4 linked regions of the Xenopus tropicalis genome follow. The protein of the gene in region 2 purifies or fractionates together with the protein of the main gene of each other region. This does not show direct contact. Links are inferred from orthologs where the notes say so. Each region holds a gene or a part of one and is shown on either strand. Other genes may lie near its edges.

What was found. Proteins that work in one complex are often made in the same cells at the same time.
Region 1: the proteins of eps15l1 (region 2) and ap2s1 purify together in Homo sapiens (affinity purification with mass spectrometry; 4 studies listed by BioGRID and IntAct, counting the BioPlex papers as one, with this or other methods). This does not show direct contact. The link is inferred for Xenopus tropicalis from reciprocal best matches to the Homo sapiens genes EPS15L1 and AP2S1.
Region 3: the proteins of eps15l1 (region 2) and itsn2 purify together in Homo sapiens (affinity purification with mass spectrometry; 5 studies listed by BioGRID and IntAct, with this or other methods). This does not show direct contact. The link is inferred for Xenopus tropicalis from reciprocal best matches to the Homo sapiens genes EPS15L1 and ITSN2.
Region 4: the proteins of eps15l1 (region 2) and itsn1 purify together in Homo sapiens (affinity purification with mass spectrometry; 4 studies listed by BioGRID and IntAct, with this or other methods). This does not show direct contact. The link is inferred for Xenopus tropicalis from reciprocal best matches to the Homo sapiens genes EPS15L1 and ITSN1.

The regions. Positions count from the first base shown.
Region 1 is NC_030684.2:70,196,750-70,199,922, reverse strand, and holds the end of ap2s1 (AP-2 complex subunit sigma), read right to left. Parts: intron 1,762-3,173; coding exon 1,648-1,761; intron 1,073-1,647; coding exon 1,013-1,072; intron 902-1,012; coding exon 800-901; 3' UTR 501-799; downstream 1-500. UniProt on the Homo sapiens protein: Component of the adaptor protein complex 2 (AP-2). Adaptor protein complexes function in protein transport via transport vesicles in different membrane traffic pathways.
Region 2 is NC_030677.2:112,411,776-112,414,742, reverse strand, and holds the end of eps15l1 (epidermal growth factor receptor substrate 15-like 1), read right to left. Parts: intron 1,168-2,967; coding exon 1,021-1,167; 3' UTR 501-1,020; downstream 1-500.
Region 3 is NC_030681.2:145,787,835-145,791,334, reverse strand, and holds part of itsn2 (intersectin-2), read left to right. Parts: intron 1-1,520; coding exon 1,521-1,657; intron 1,658-2,360; coding exon 2,361-2,791; intron 2,792-3,500.
Region 4 is NC_030678.2:14,215,870-14,219,369, reverse strand, and holds part of itsn1 (intersectin-1), read right to left. Parts: intron 2,661-3,500; coding exon 2,562-2,660; intron 2,329-2,561; coding exon 2,161-2,328; intron 1,078-2,160; coding exon 865-1,077; intron 585-864; coding exon 463-584; intron 218-462; coding exon 135-217; intron 1-134. UniProt on the Homo sapiens protein: Adapter protein that provides a link between the endocytic membrane traffic and the actin assembly machinery. Acts as a guanine nucleotide exchange factor (GEF) for CDC42, and thereby stimulates actin nucleation mediated by WASL and the ARP2/3 complex.

The DNA of each region.
Region 1 (3,173 bases), on a different chromosome or scaffold from region 2:
ATTAGCAGAACTCCATTATGTGCTGCTTCTGTGAAGATTTCAATCCATACTGGCAAGTACAACTTTAAGGGGAGTATGGGATTTGCACCATGGATTGTTCTACTTTGCACAGGATCTTGGTATACACCAGGTTAACTTGTGTTTTGTTGAGATTCCACTGAGTTCTGTAAATCATTAGCACTAGGTGTGTTAGCACATTTAGGCAGCACACAACCCATATGTTACTGGGGAAGCACCATTACATTTCCCGGTGCTGCACATTCTGACTGTGCTGGTGCATGACACCAGTGGAGGGGGGGGCACATGAAATGTTACCAAATCAGGAGAATGTAAACTTAACTGCACAGAGCTGCTGTTAATTTACAGTACACACAAGGTGTTTAAGTTCCTCCTTAACAAAGTACTTTAACTATATTCTCTCCCTTCACTTGGGGCCAGTTTATCTGCAACCAGCTCACTACAGCACATCATCCCTTCTCCAATTCTCTCCCACAGCATCATTATACACAGAATATTTTATTGTTTTCACATTAAAAGTTAAAAAACTTCATTTGTTTGAGAAGAGAAAACAAAAGAGACAGGGGCAGGTAGGATATAGAGTTATGGATTAGAGGCAGTAATGGGTCACATAATAATGAATAAATTGAAACAGAATACAGAGGTAATTAGTGAGGGCAATGCAAGAAGGTTTAGCTCCTGCTTGGAATGTTATTCAAGACTGAAAGGGGAAGACATATATATATTTATATATACACAAGATGCTGGAGAGTTTAGGTGGATGGCAGCTCAGAAGTCACTCTCACTCCAGGGACTGGAGCATCAGCAGCTGCTTCAAAACTTTTGTCTGACTTGTTTCTCTAATTTCACCAGCCAAAAACATTTCATCCACCACTGTGTACACCTAAAATGAAAAAGCAAAAGTTTAATAGAAAGAAACAAAAGGCATTGGAGAGAGAAGCAACTGATAGGAAAAGGGTGAGATTTACTAATGAATGTGAAAGAGCAGTCTTACCTTGTAGAAATTGAACACCAGATCTAATTCACATACATTATGGAAGTACTCATTTAACACCTAAAGTAAAAAAAAAAAGCAAATTAGACATATATATTAGTGAATATATTTATATTTGTATCATTTATAAAGCACATTGTTTATTTACCCATTTCTAAAAAAGTGTTTTTAAATCAATAATTAAGCAATAATGGCATGAGTAACAGCACTTCATTGGTCTGCCAAAGTGAATACTTGTACAGTTATTGAAAGCATATTTAGATGTTCACACAAGACTGTGTAGACTCTGTTAGGCTTACGCTGGGTCCTCATTAAAAACTGGAGTTGTGAAAACACCCTGCCCCTCATATTAGTAATATCACTATTTGTAGAAACTGTAGACTGGGTTTGAAACTGGAAGGGTCAGGGAGATAAAGGGTGAGAGGGTTATACTGACATAACAATGAATAATTTGGGATTAGAAAAAGCTAATTAGAAAAGGCATACCTCTTTTAGAATAATCTTTTTTAATCTCAAATATTTAATTGTTCTGTCAGTATAACCCTCTCACCCTTGATCTCTCCAACCCTCCAAGTTTCTTTATTTCCATTTCATTTTGTTTTAGCTCACTGTCCATGTTTATACCATCTACTTACCTCTACAAAGTTGTGGATGGCTTCCAGATAAGCCAGGTTATTATCTGTCACGTCCACGCATATACAGAAATACAGCCCAGCATAACGGCGGTATATGATCTTAAAGTTCCTAAACTAAAAAAAAAGGTATGACAGGATGCTTTTTGGATACAGCATAGGAACAGGAAATGGAAGAATTTGCAAGAAGGTTTTGTATAGTTGTTTATGTTAACTATAGCTGAGTTAGTTTAAATGCCATTTATTAAGAGGCAGAGAATCATCCCCTATACTGGCAGCTTTTCCCTGTGTCAGTATGCTTTCCAGAGCCAAAATCCGCTCCATAAGCCTGCACACAGGCACAGGAAAAGGCTGCCAGCGTAGGGCCTGATCCTTGGACTATGTTTATTCGCAGGCCAAGAATCAGCCCCATCTGGTATTAGCCTTACTGAATACTGGGTCCAAAAGGGTGCTTTTGTAAACATAGTATGAAGCCAATCAACATCCCTTCTTTCCTCTCCACCGACGTATTGCTGCTGGGGAAACATACACAGTGCAAAGTTGCCTGTATTGTGTATGTTTGCATGTTAGCCGAGAGGAAAGAAGGGATGTTTTGTTACCAGTTGCAGCCGATATTAATCGTGGGCTACAAAATTCCCCATCTGTCACTGCCCTTGGGCAGTACACAAGATGATTAGTGGCCCGCGATAAATCTCCTCCATTGCGGGCGACTAATCTATGAATGCTTTACAGTACAGGTATAGGACCCATTATCCAGAATGCTTGGGACCAAGGGTATTCCGGATAAGGGGTCTTTCCATAATTTAGATCTCTATACCTTAAGGGCTCTGGCACACGGGGAGATTTCAGCACATTTCGGGTGCTGAAAAACTAGGCTTATACTCGAGTATATACATTAAGTCGCTGGTGGGATGGCACACGCTGCGCAGGTGATTTCGGCAAATCGCGAAGTTGCCTCACGAGGCATTTTTGGCAATTTGCTGAAATCGCCTGCGCAGCGTGTGCCATCCCACCGGCGATTTACATTTTCACCAGTGGGATGCTAGTTTGGGGAGATTAGTCGCCCGCGACAAATCTCCCTTGTCACGGGCGACTAATCTCCCCGAACTAGCATCCCATTAGCACTAATCTCCCCGTGTGCCAGAGCCCTTAGTCTGCTAAAAATCAATAAACCATTAATTAAACCCAATAGGATTGTTTTGAATCCAATAAAGATTATTTATATCTTAGTTGGGATGAATTACAAGGTACTGTTTTATTACTACAGATAAAAAGGAAATCAGTTTTAAAATTCTGAATTATTTGATTAAAATGGAGTCTATGGAGACAGGCTTTCCGTAATTCGGAGCTTTCTGGATAATGGGTTTCCGGATAAGGGATCCCATACCTGTACTAAACTTCATAAAATCGAGTATGTTTTCCTACTGGCAGCTTACTTTAATGCCAGCGTAAAGCAGTCACATGAGATAAGTTGCCCACAGTAGGGAAGATTTATAGCAGGCGACTAGGGCACAGAGTAGACAGTTTTC
Region 2 (2,967 bases):
GGTTTCAAACCTTCATTTGTATTACATGACTTCAGTGCTGACATCCTTCATGCCCTCTACTTAAACCAACTACACTGACAGCTTATTCTGCCTGGCAGAATAAGATTTAAAGTTATGGGTCTCATTTGAAATAATCACAAAAATATGCCATTTGGTATGATTTTGGCTTTAAAACCTGCTAAACTTCATGTTTGGTTAACAATCCTATGCTTAACAATTGTTAAGAATAAGTATTAATTGAAACATTTTATCCACTCAAATGTAGCATGATCTCCACTCTGCACCACTCAAGAATGAATGCAAACATTCCAATAACGCTCGTATTTTGCAGTGAAGGTTTCATGTCTTCTGAAACCAAAACAGAGGAAAGTGATAGTGATTTTCTTTCCCCACTGTTGCCTTTTGCAGTAAGTTAAAATCAGAATAATAAGAATCTCTTAAAAGAAATGCAAATTTTAAAAAAATCCAAAGATTAATGAAATTTCATTTGCATAAGCCAATTTCTGCGGGATGGTACCTGTAAAAATTGTTTTTAATGTAGGCATAGGGTTTTGGATCAACTGAACATCTTACATTCACTCCAAACAGCCCAGTCATTCCATGCAGGCCATAACAGCTTATCATACAAATAAAAGCAAATGCTTACTTGGTGTAAAATTCAAACAGGGCATCAGATGAAATGTAAAGGGGATAGCAAGGATGATTAAAAAAAAATATTTCCCTGATATAGAAAAATAAAATAAAACAAGAGATGACTGGATAGCAGTTCCTTTGCTTAGAATATATGTGCAGGTGAATATTCCCATCAAGCAGTTCCATTGGGGTCATTTTATGGTGATGTCATGGCCACAGCTTCCCCGTGACTGGCTAGTAGTTCAGAAATAAAGACCGCTAGTTTAGGATGAAGTCATTCGGCTTCCTGTCCACCTCTGTCCTGAATGCAGAGTTGGTGTCGGTTGCAATAGCGTTGGCATATAATCCTGCGGGCACAGGATGGGGAAGACCAGGAGAGTGCGACTATCAGGAACTCGGCATCTCTGCTTTGCTGAGGGCAATCGCTAGCTCCAGGTCTTCCTGCTCCTGACGTTTTAAACGGTCTAGTCTTTCCTTCTCAGCCCGCTGGCTCTCGCGTTTTGCCCAAGCAAGCTGTTGCTCCTCGTTCCCAAACTGTGGGACAGAAAAATGGAGGAGGAATCAGTAACTTCACCTTTGTGGTCCATCAGCAAATGCACAACTGACATTGTTGCTCACCTGCCAAATAAAATGCTTTTTCCTTACCTGAAAAATCACAGAGTCTATTTTATACTTTCACTTTATTTTCTAGAATTTATGTTATGTTATTAAGTTTCCAAAGCAACATTTGAAACTCCCTCCTCATTTTAAATACTAGGTGTTAAAAAGTGTGCTGAAACAATGGCTTACACAATGGCCTACATGGCCTATTCATGCTTGTCTGGTTATGGGAAATAAAAAAAACTATGTAGAAATTATGAAGGAACAAACTGTATGCCTACAATGTTTTTCATCAGCGGGAGCTTTCATACTGCACCCTATTGTTCCCTAACAGCAATATGGTAGCTCTCATATGTATAAATGCAAACATATCCATGGAATATCATATGCACAACACAGGCTATAGCCTCATACATTACTCTATTTTTGCAAGAAGGGTAAAATTCTATTTTATCTGGTTAGCCAAATTCAATAGGGCTGCTTTACTAATATAGGTGCTATATTGCACTAATGTAGCTCCCTGTGGCACCCCATACATTTGTTGGAATAATAAGAAAATACTTAGCAGCTATGTTAGTAATTCAGCCCAAAGACAAACAAGCAATACATGGATAGGAAAAATGTTTGTAGCAGACACATTGATCTAGCCTTACTGAATCAATTACACATGTAAATAGTAACAAAAAATATCTATATTATGGCCAGAAAAAAAATCTTGCCACCTAAAAAATAGCATGTGTGTATATATATATATATATATATATATATATATATATATATATATATATATATATATATTTAGTTATATAATTATATATATATATTTAGTTTAGTGCCTTGCACTTGTCAAAAGATTTACTGGCTAACTTCAAATATTCTCCAGTTTCCTGGGTGACGCACACATTCTTCATATTTCTCCTGTTGGATTTCTGGCTTTTCTTCTCTCGTCTCTCAGACATTTGCCTTCATGAACAAACATGGTGAATAGCCATATAAATAATGCACTCTAAGCAAGAAGTTTGGATCTTAGAGAAAGAATGAAGAGTCAGCAGGCTAAGGGAATCAAGCTGAATTAAAAAGAAAGAGTAACACAGTAGTTTTGTGGATTGTTTGTAACATATCGCGTGTATCTTACATTACAGGGTAGTTTTTAAAACAAACCTTAGTCACAGTCCGTAATGCAAAAGCAGACTATGTTCACTGGATGAAAATGTGGAAGCAGGTGTCAGTGTGCACTGAAGGTATAACAAGCCATTTGTTATTTGCTGATTTGTGTCACGTCCTTTGCCTATGTGAATAACTCCAATGCACTGAATTCCTTTCGTTTTGCTTTAACCAAATTCATAGCTGTAATTGTAAATATTACTTACACAGTAACTATGCATTAAGCATATTAATGGACATCTTTGTTAACATACACTGGTAAAATTAGAGTATTCTCCATTGAGTTGACTCAAAAGTTTGACAGGTTATTGTAAAAGTGCAGTGTGCTGTTAGCCTGCATTCTATATCTCAATACCTCCATTTTAGAGGTGGGGTTTACTGGCAATATCAATTGCACAAGACCATACAGAAAACAATTGTGTTTCACTGAATCTGGAGGCTTGTACTGTAATGGTATCAAGTTGATAACAGGTAATTTGGGATAAAAGAGATATTTGTTATCATTTAAGAAAAAGCTCATACATACCTATATATGATTGTTAACTTTTTTTCTCAAACCCCTCCACCCCT
Region 3 (3,500 bases), on a different chromosome or scaffold from region 2:
TTGAATCCAAGTTGTTTTGGGGGACCAGTGAAATCTGTGCCAGTGCTACCTGTGGGGTGAGTTGTGCATATGAGACTTGCTGTTCTGCAAAGGTTCCATTTTCCTCTTTGACATCAATTAAATTCCTTATAACTCAAGAATTTGTTATAAAAAATAGGTAAAAATCTATATAACAGCAATGACTGCAGGATACAAATGATATCCCAGAAGCTGATTGATAATGATCCTATGCCAATGCTGGGAGCAGTTTACCCTTCATATTTTATTTAGTTTGGTTTTCTGATTGTATGATTAGTAAAATAGCCTGTTAGACTGGCCATACAGTTACCAATAAGATATTTCTGTGTTGGGTAGACTATCCCTACCGGTATCTTTGGGCTATGGATATTGGGTTTGTCAAGGCCAGTGTATGGGCATCTTTATTCATGCCATCCCTGTGTCTGATTGGACTCATCCATGTCTGCACTGGGGAAGAACAATGGTCGCCTTCTGTTTGTAGGATGTCTTCATAGTACTTTGATTCCATATACTGTACACATCTTGGTGTTGTGTTGTGTTTTTGCCTATAGCTACCGTATGTGTTCCCAAGTACACAATTCCTTTGCAGCTCTCTCCCTGCATCAGGGAGCATATGGGGTACTGTGTAGTGCTGCTATGTGCATAAATATGAACATACACAGAATCAGCCTTTTAGCCAATGCTTATGCCTCATTCAGCAGATTTCAAGCTTACATGAAAGAGGTGGTTTACCTTTAAATTAACTTTGTCATTTATGGAATAGCAAGCTTTGCAAGTGTTCATTATTTTTATAGTTTTTAAATTATTTGCCTTTCACTTTTGATTATTTCCAGCTTGTAAATGGGGGTCACTGACCCCGGCAGCCAAAAAAAACTTCCTCTCTGAGGCTAGAGTTTTATTGTTATTGTAACTTTTTATTACTTGTATATCTTCATACCCTTTCCTATTTATGCCCTTCTCTCATTTAAACCATTGCCTGGTTGCTAGTGTAATTAGCAACCAGTTAGCAGCTGAAATACCAAACTGAAAAGCTGCTGAACAAACACAAAATTGCTGAAAAACCATAACATATAAAAAATAAAATAAAGAGCGATTGCAAATTGTCTTGGATTATCAATGTCTTCATTATACTTAAAGTTCATTTAAACATGAACTATCCTATTAATGCCGCAGTTATTTCAGCAGTGACTGGGGAATGCACACACATAGCAACACAATAGCCTGTGAGGGCCCTGGCCCCAGGATCTTGCAGTACGGTTTCAGGTTTTATCACATTTCGTAATCTGTCAAACCCATTGTTTTTGTGCTGCAAATTATCAGGAATGCCCACAATTCCCTTGTTTCTCCATATTGTGCCGCCATCTTTGTTGGGCTTCAGATCTTCACAAGTCCATGCATGTGCCGATGATACCATAGCTCCTCGCTGTATTATGGTGCATTGCTTCGTGCCTGCTGCTCCACTCCCTTTACTGACTGTGTGATGTGTGCTGTGTCTTGCCCAGGAGCTGAGAGGGAGCTACAGTAAGCAACAGTCTGCCTTACATCAGCTGCAGAAGATCAAACAGGAAAAACTGAGGGAAGCTGAGCAGAAACGAGCCGAGCAGGCACAGAAGAAGCAGGAGGAAGAGGAGGCTGCAAGGTAATGAATCAACTTTGCTGCAGAACAGGTTGTTTACCATGAGATTATCATGGAATAAAACTGGGGGCGTCATAAATGGCTAGTGCAAGGTCTGCTTAAGGGTTTCACTATGTATTCTTAGCGCTAAAGGTGGCCATACACGAGCAGATTTAAGCTGCTGATTCGGGTCCTTCAGCCCGATTCAGCAGTTTATAGGCACCCTAGATGGGCCTGCCCGACTGATATCTGGCCTAAGATTTGACAGATATCAATCGGGCAGGTTTGATTTTTCCGTGTCATCGAGGATCACATCTGCTCATTATATGGTCCTCACTCCGACGTGTCTTATTCCCGTCATTATGATTTGATCATTTGGCCCAAGGGTCATTTAATTGCATTACTCCGGTATCCCCCCCCATAGGTGGGCATATCAGTGGAAAGATCTCCTCCTTTGGCGGCCTCACCAAATGAGGGAATCTTATGGTGTATGGCCACCTGGGGCTGTGCTATCTTTAGGAAGGGTATTTCCAGTTCCTATTTTCATGAAATTCTATGACCTTTAGCAGTCTTAAGATTCTAAGATTCCTTGTCACCTCTTATTGGCTAACCCAGGTTATATCCAAACTGTGTATGTAATATTGCCATTCGCTAACCCTGAATGACCATGTCTCACATCGATTTGCCTAATTCCTGTTGCTTCTGCCATTATCTCCCCTTCCCCCAGGAGAGCCAAGCAAGAGAAAGAAAACCTCTGGCTGGAAAATCTTAAAAAAGAAGAAGAGGAGAAGCAGCAGCGCTTAGAGGATGAGAGAAGAAGAGAACAGAAGCTTCTGGAAAAGCAAAAAGCAGAGGAGGAAGCGACAGCACGGCAGAGGGAAGCCCAGCAAAGACTGGCAGAAGAGAAGAAAAGGCAGGCCGAGAGGGAAGAAGAACAGAGAAAGAAGCAGCAGGAAGAGGAAAAACGCAGGCAGGCCCAGCTGAAGAAGGACCTGGAGGAAAAAAGCAAGGCAGAGGATGAGGAGAGAAGACGTAAGGAAAGTGCTGGCCGTAAAGATTCTGAGAAGCGAATCTCCAAACTTAGCCTGGATGAGAAGTTTGCTGACAAGCTGAAGAATATTGGAGGCAGGAACGCCAGCTCTGAGCGAGGGAGAGAAGGTAAAATAATATGGTCTGCGGAATCCTATGAGTGTTGGGTAAAGTGGAAAATATGCCCAGCAAATCAATGTAGGCAAGGAATGGGGATCTTAGGGGCAGATTTATCAAAATGTGAGATTAGAGCTCCCCACAGAAAAAGTCACCCACTTTCTATTCATTCCTATGGGATTTTTAGAAGCTTATTTATTAAATGGGGAACTTTAACTTTCACCCATTGAATAAATACACTTCTAAAAATATCATAGAAATGAATAGAGGGGGGTTGATTTTGTTGTGGTGAGCTCTAATTTCTCATTTTAATAAATCTGCCCCTTAAACTGCTTCTTATAAAAGAGGGTCTTACTCAGCACATAATGCAATATAAGGCACATATATTAATATAATTTTGGTTACTAAAGCCACAACATAAGGCAGTGGTTGTTTGTTTCCATTTGACGTCCTGAATTTGGTCAGGCATCCCTCTTGGCTTCAGCCATAGTTCATATGACTATCTAGGGCAAAAAATAAATGTTCTCCCAAGTTGTAACATAATTAAGGGGGCCTATCATCCAGACATAAAAAACTGTAGAAAAGTTATTTTTAAATTAAATATGAAACCCAATTTTTTTTATTTATTTATTTTTTTTAAATCTCAGCTGTCAGTCATATATTGCCTGCGCCACCTCTACACCTCAGGCAAACAGGTAGGGCAGGCAATTTCACTTTCCAT
Region 4 (3,500 bases), on a different chromosome or scaffold from region 2:
AGGGTAGCAAATCCTCAGGTGATCACTTCTGCTTCCATCGGAAAGGTGTCGGTGTTGCTTTAAATAGGATAAATACCCCAAACTCCATGTTTCCAATGAAAACACCCCAAGGATTCCCCCCCAAAGCCCCTTACCCAAGTAGGCCTTCTCTCTCTTCTTCTTCTCCGTCTCTATGTACAACTCCGATGCCGCTTTGATTTTCTGCACCCAGGCCGTCCTATAGAATATGGCATTTACACAATGATCCTTTATTCATACAGCAGTTACTACAGTTATGGAAAGACTATTTATATTTTCATTTTGGTGCTGTTATTTACAATACATATTTGTGTAATTCCCTTTTACTGCAGGATAAGTGCCCAGTGCAAAGCAGAACTGGTTCTAATGGAACACTGCGGGGTTACCCAGTATGTATTGTGTATAAAGGGTGTGGCTACCTAGGCAAGGGGAGGAGTCTCTGACCTCTCATTGATGCTCTCTGCACGCAATGTGTAGACTCGGTCAATGTGAGAAATATGAAAGATTGGCTCATCCCCGGATGGGTCCGTGGGCAGTTTCACCAGCACTTCGTTGAGGAATATTGGCTGAAACACAGGATTTCATGCATAAACATCAACTTTAAATATGAGGTCCCAGCACTGGGCCTAAAGCTGGGAGATCGGATAAAAACATCAATGGTGATGTTGCCCATAGCAACCAATAAGCGATTGGATTGGAATGGTCACCTACAAGTTTTAAAACAAAAGCAAAGATCTGATTGGTTGCTATGGGCAACATCACCGGTGATGGTGGTCTCCAATGTTAGGAAATACCCCCCACTGTGCCACTGTGCCACTGTGCAGTATTAGTCACAAGGCTACTCACAGTTTTGTACATCTTGTACTGGAGATTGGACTTGGGGCTGAACACCTTATCGTTGCCGGAGGAGCCGAGGGGCTTAATGATCTGGGTGAGCAGCAGGAAGTCGTTGAACAGGAAGCCGTATAGTTCCTTGTTGCTCTTGGCTTTGTACAGTTTCCCACTGTGCAGGAACTTGCGTGGGCCCAGGCAGTTTGTAACAGAGTTAAATACTAATTGCTGGAGAAAAAGGGGGAGGAAATTATTATGTAGGGAGATGCTGAATGTGCAGGAATCCTTACTACTTTGCCTTTATACCTGCAACCTGGTGGGTCTCACTGGGCAATGAGTGGGTCACACTCCCAGGATTCCCTGCTGCCTTAGTACTTCAGCCAATCCCAATGTTATCAGCTCAAGGCCCCCAGTCTGGCACACAGGAAATACCTCACTTTGTGGCATACCAAGACACAGAGTCCTATAGCTAATTACTGTACAGAGCTGATATGGGCCCATTAGCTGGGTACTGTACAGAGCTGATATGGGCCCATTAGCTGAGTACTGTACAGAGCTGATATGGGCCCATTAGCTGAGTACTGTACAGAGCTGATATGGGCCCATTAGCTGGGTACTGTACAGAGCTGATATGGGCCCATTAGCTGAGTACTGTACAGAGCACTGATATGGGCCCATTAGCTGGGTACTGTACAGAGCTGATATGGGCCCATTAGCTGAGTACTGTACAGAGCACTGATATGGGCCCATTAGCTGGGTACTGTACAGAGCTGATATGGGCCCATTAGCTGGGTACTGTACAGAGCTGATATGGGCCCATTAGCTGGGTACTGTACAGAGCTGATATGGGCCCATTAGCTGAGTACTGTACAGAGCTGATATGGGCCCATTAGCTGAGTACTGTACAGAGCTGATATGGGCCCATTAGCTGGGTACTGTACAGAGCTGATATGGGCCCATTAGCTGGGTACTGTACAGAGCTGATATGGGCCCATTAGCTGGGTACTGTACAGAGCTGATATGGGCCCATTAGCTGAGTACTGTACAGAGCTGATATGGGCCCATTAGCTGGGTACTGTACAGAGCTGATATGGGCCCATTAGCTGAGTACTGTACAGAGCTGATATGGGCCCATTAGCTGAGTACTGTACAGAGATGATATGGGCCCATTAGCTGAGTACTGTACAGAGCTGATATGGGCCCATTAGCTGAGTACTGTACAGAGCTGATATGGGCCCATTAGCTGAGTACTGTACAGAGCACCTGGGCCCGTTAGGCTCCCTACCCGGCCGGCTGGACTACAGGACGTACCTCAGACAAACCCTCACACTGAACGTGCGCCTGAATCCACTCCAGTCGGTCTGAGTTTTCCTTCTCCCGAACCCCCTCATTCACTTGGGAACATAATTCTTCGGCTTTCTCTAGGGCTTGCTTCAGGTGGCTGTGGTCAGGGTGATTTTCTGGAGTATTTTCAATAATCTGCAAAACAGAAAATTAATACATATCATAAGTACAGATTATTAATCAAGGCTTCAGCCCATTATCAGTAATGAGTTGCGCTGGTGCTTATAATGCTAATGTGCTGCCGTACAGAAGGTACAGTTGGGGGGTACAGCGGGGGGCACAGCGGGGGGCACTTACACATACAGATCTGATGTTACAGATAGAAGCTAAAGTTTGGGGCACATTTAGAAAAACAAAAGGTTCCATACATTTTTAATGATGAGCGGGTATCTGGTTACTCTCTGCATGGGTTTGAGTAGGAAGCTGGACAGCGGCATTCCCTTACACCGGGGATCCATTGCAAGCCTCTGAAATGACAAGATTAAATGCATTTATATGTAACAGTCAAAAACATTTGTACAAAGGGGCAATATCCCTGCAGCGACCTCTACAGCCTAAAACATTGGTTTCTGGGTGTCTATGGTTGATGCCCTGTTTTGAGGCCCAACATTTGCTCTGGGGTTTCTCCCAACAAGGTTCCCAACATGACACCAGTGATCACACAGGAGTCCAAGGACTCAGTTAGTGGTTGTTATTTTACAAATTTATCCATGGGTGTGGGGAAGGGGGGGCTCTCTAATTTGTTCCCAGGACTTTAGGGTAGGTCTGAGATTTCCAGTTCATAGATATGGTCTGCTTTGCATACAGGCACAGTATAGATAATAGAGTCTGATGTGCCCTTTTGGGGCAAAATGTCTTTCATCTGGTACCATGGGGTCTATTGGTAAGGATAGATCTGTCTTAATATTGATCCGGTCTAGTAACTGAATTTATGGGCAAGACGATTCCATGTGTATAAATTCCGCTGAGGAGCATTAACATTGTGGACATTCTGGACTTAGTTCTGTGTTCATTCTGCATCACACTGGGTTTATAGAAGTATAAGAAAGCTAATAGGCATTCCCCCCAAAACTCATCTACCTGCCCTCAGGCCAGGCCCGGACTGGAAATCTGTAGGTTCAGGCAAATGCCAGAGGGGCTGCTGTAAGATTCCATAGACACTCACTATTTATTGAGCCGGGGGGGGGGGGGTGTGGTTTGTGCCTCTGTGTACTGGGAATGCCAGGGCCTATTTGGAATCCCAGTCCAGACCTGCTTCAGGCAGGGCCCACCGATTCCAAACTGGGGGTCCAGCTGAAGAGTTTGGA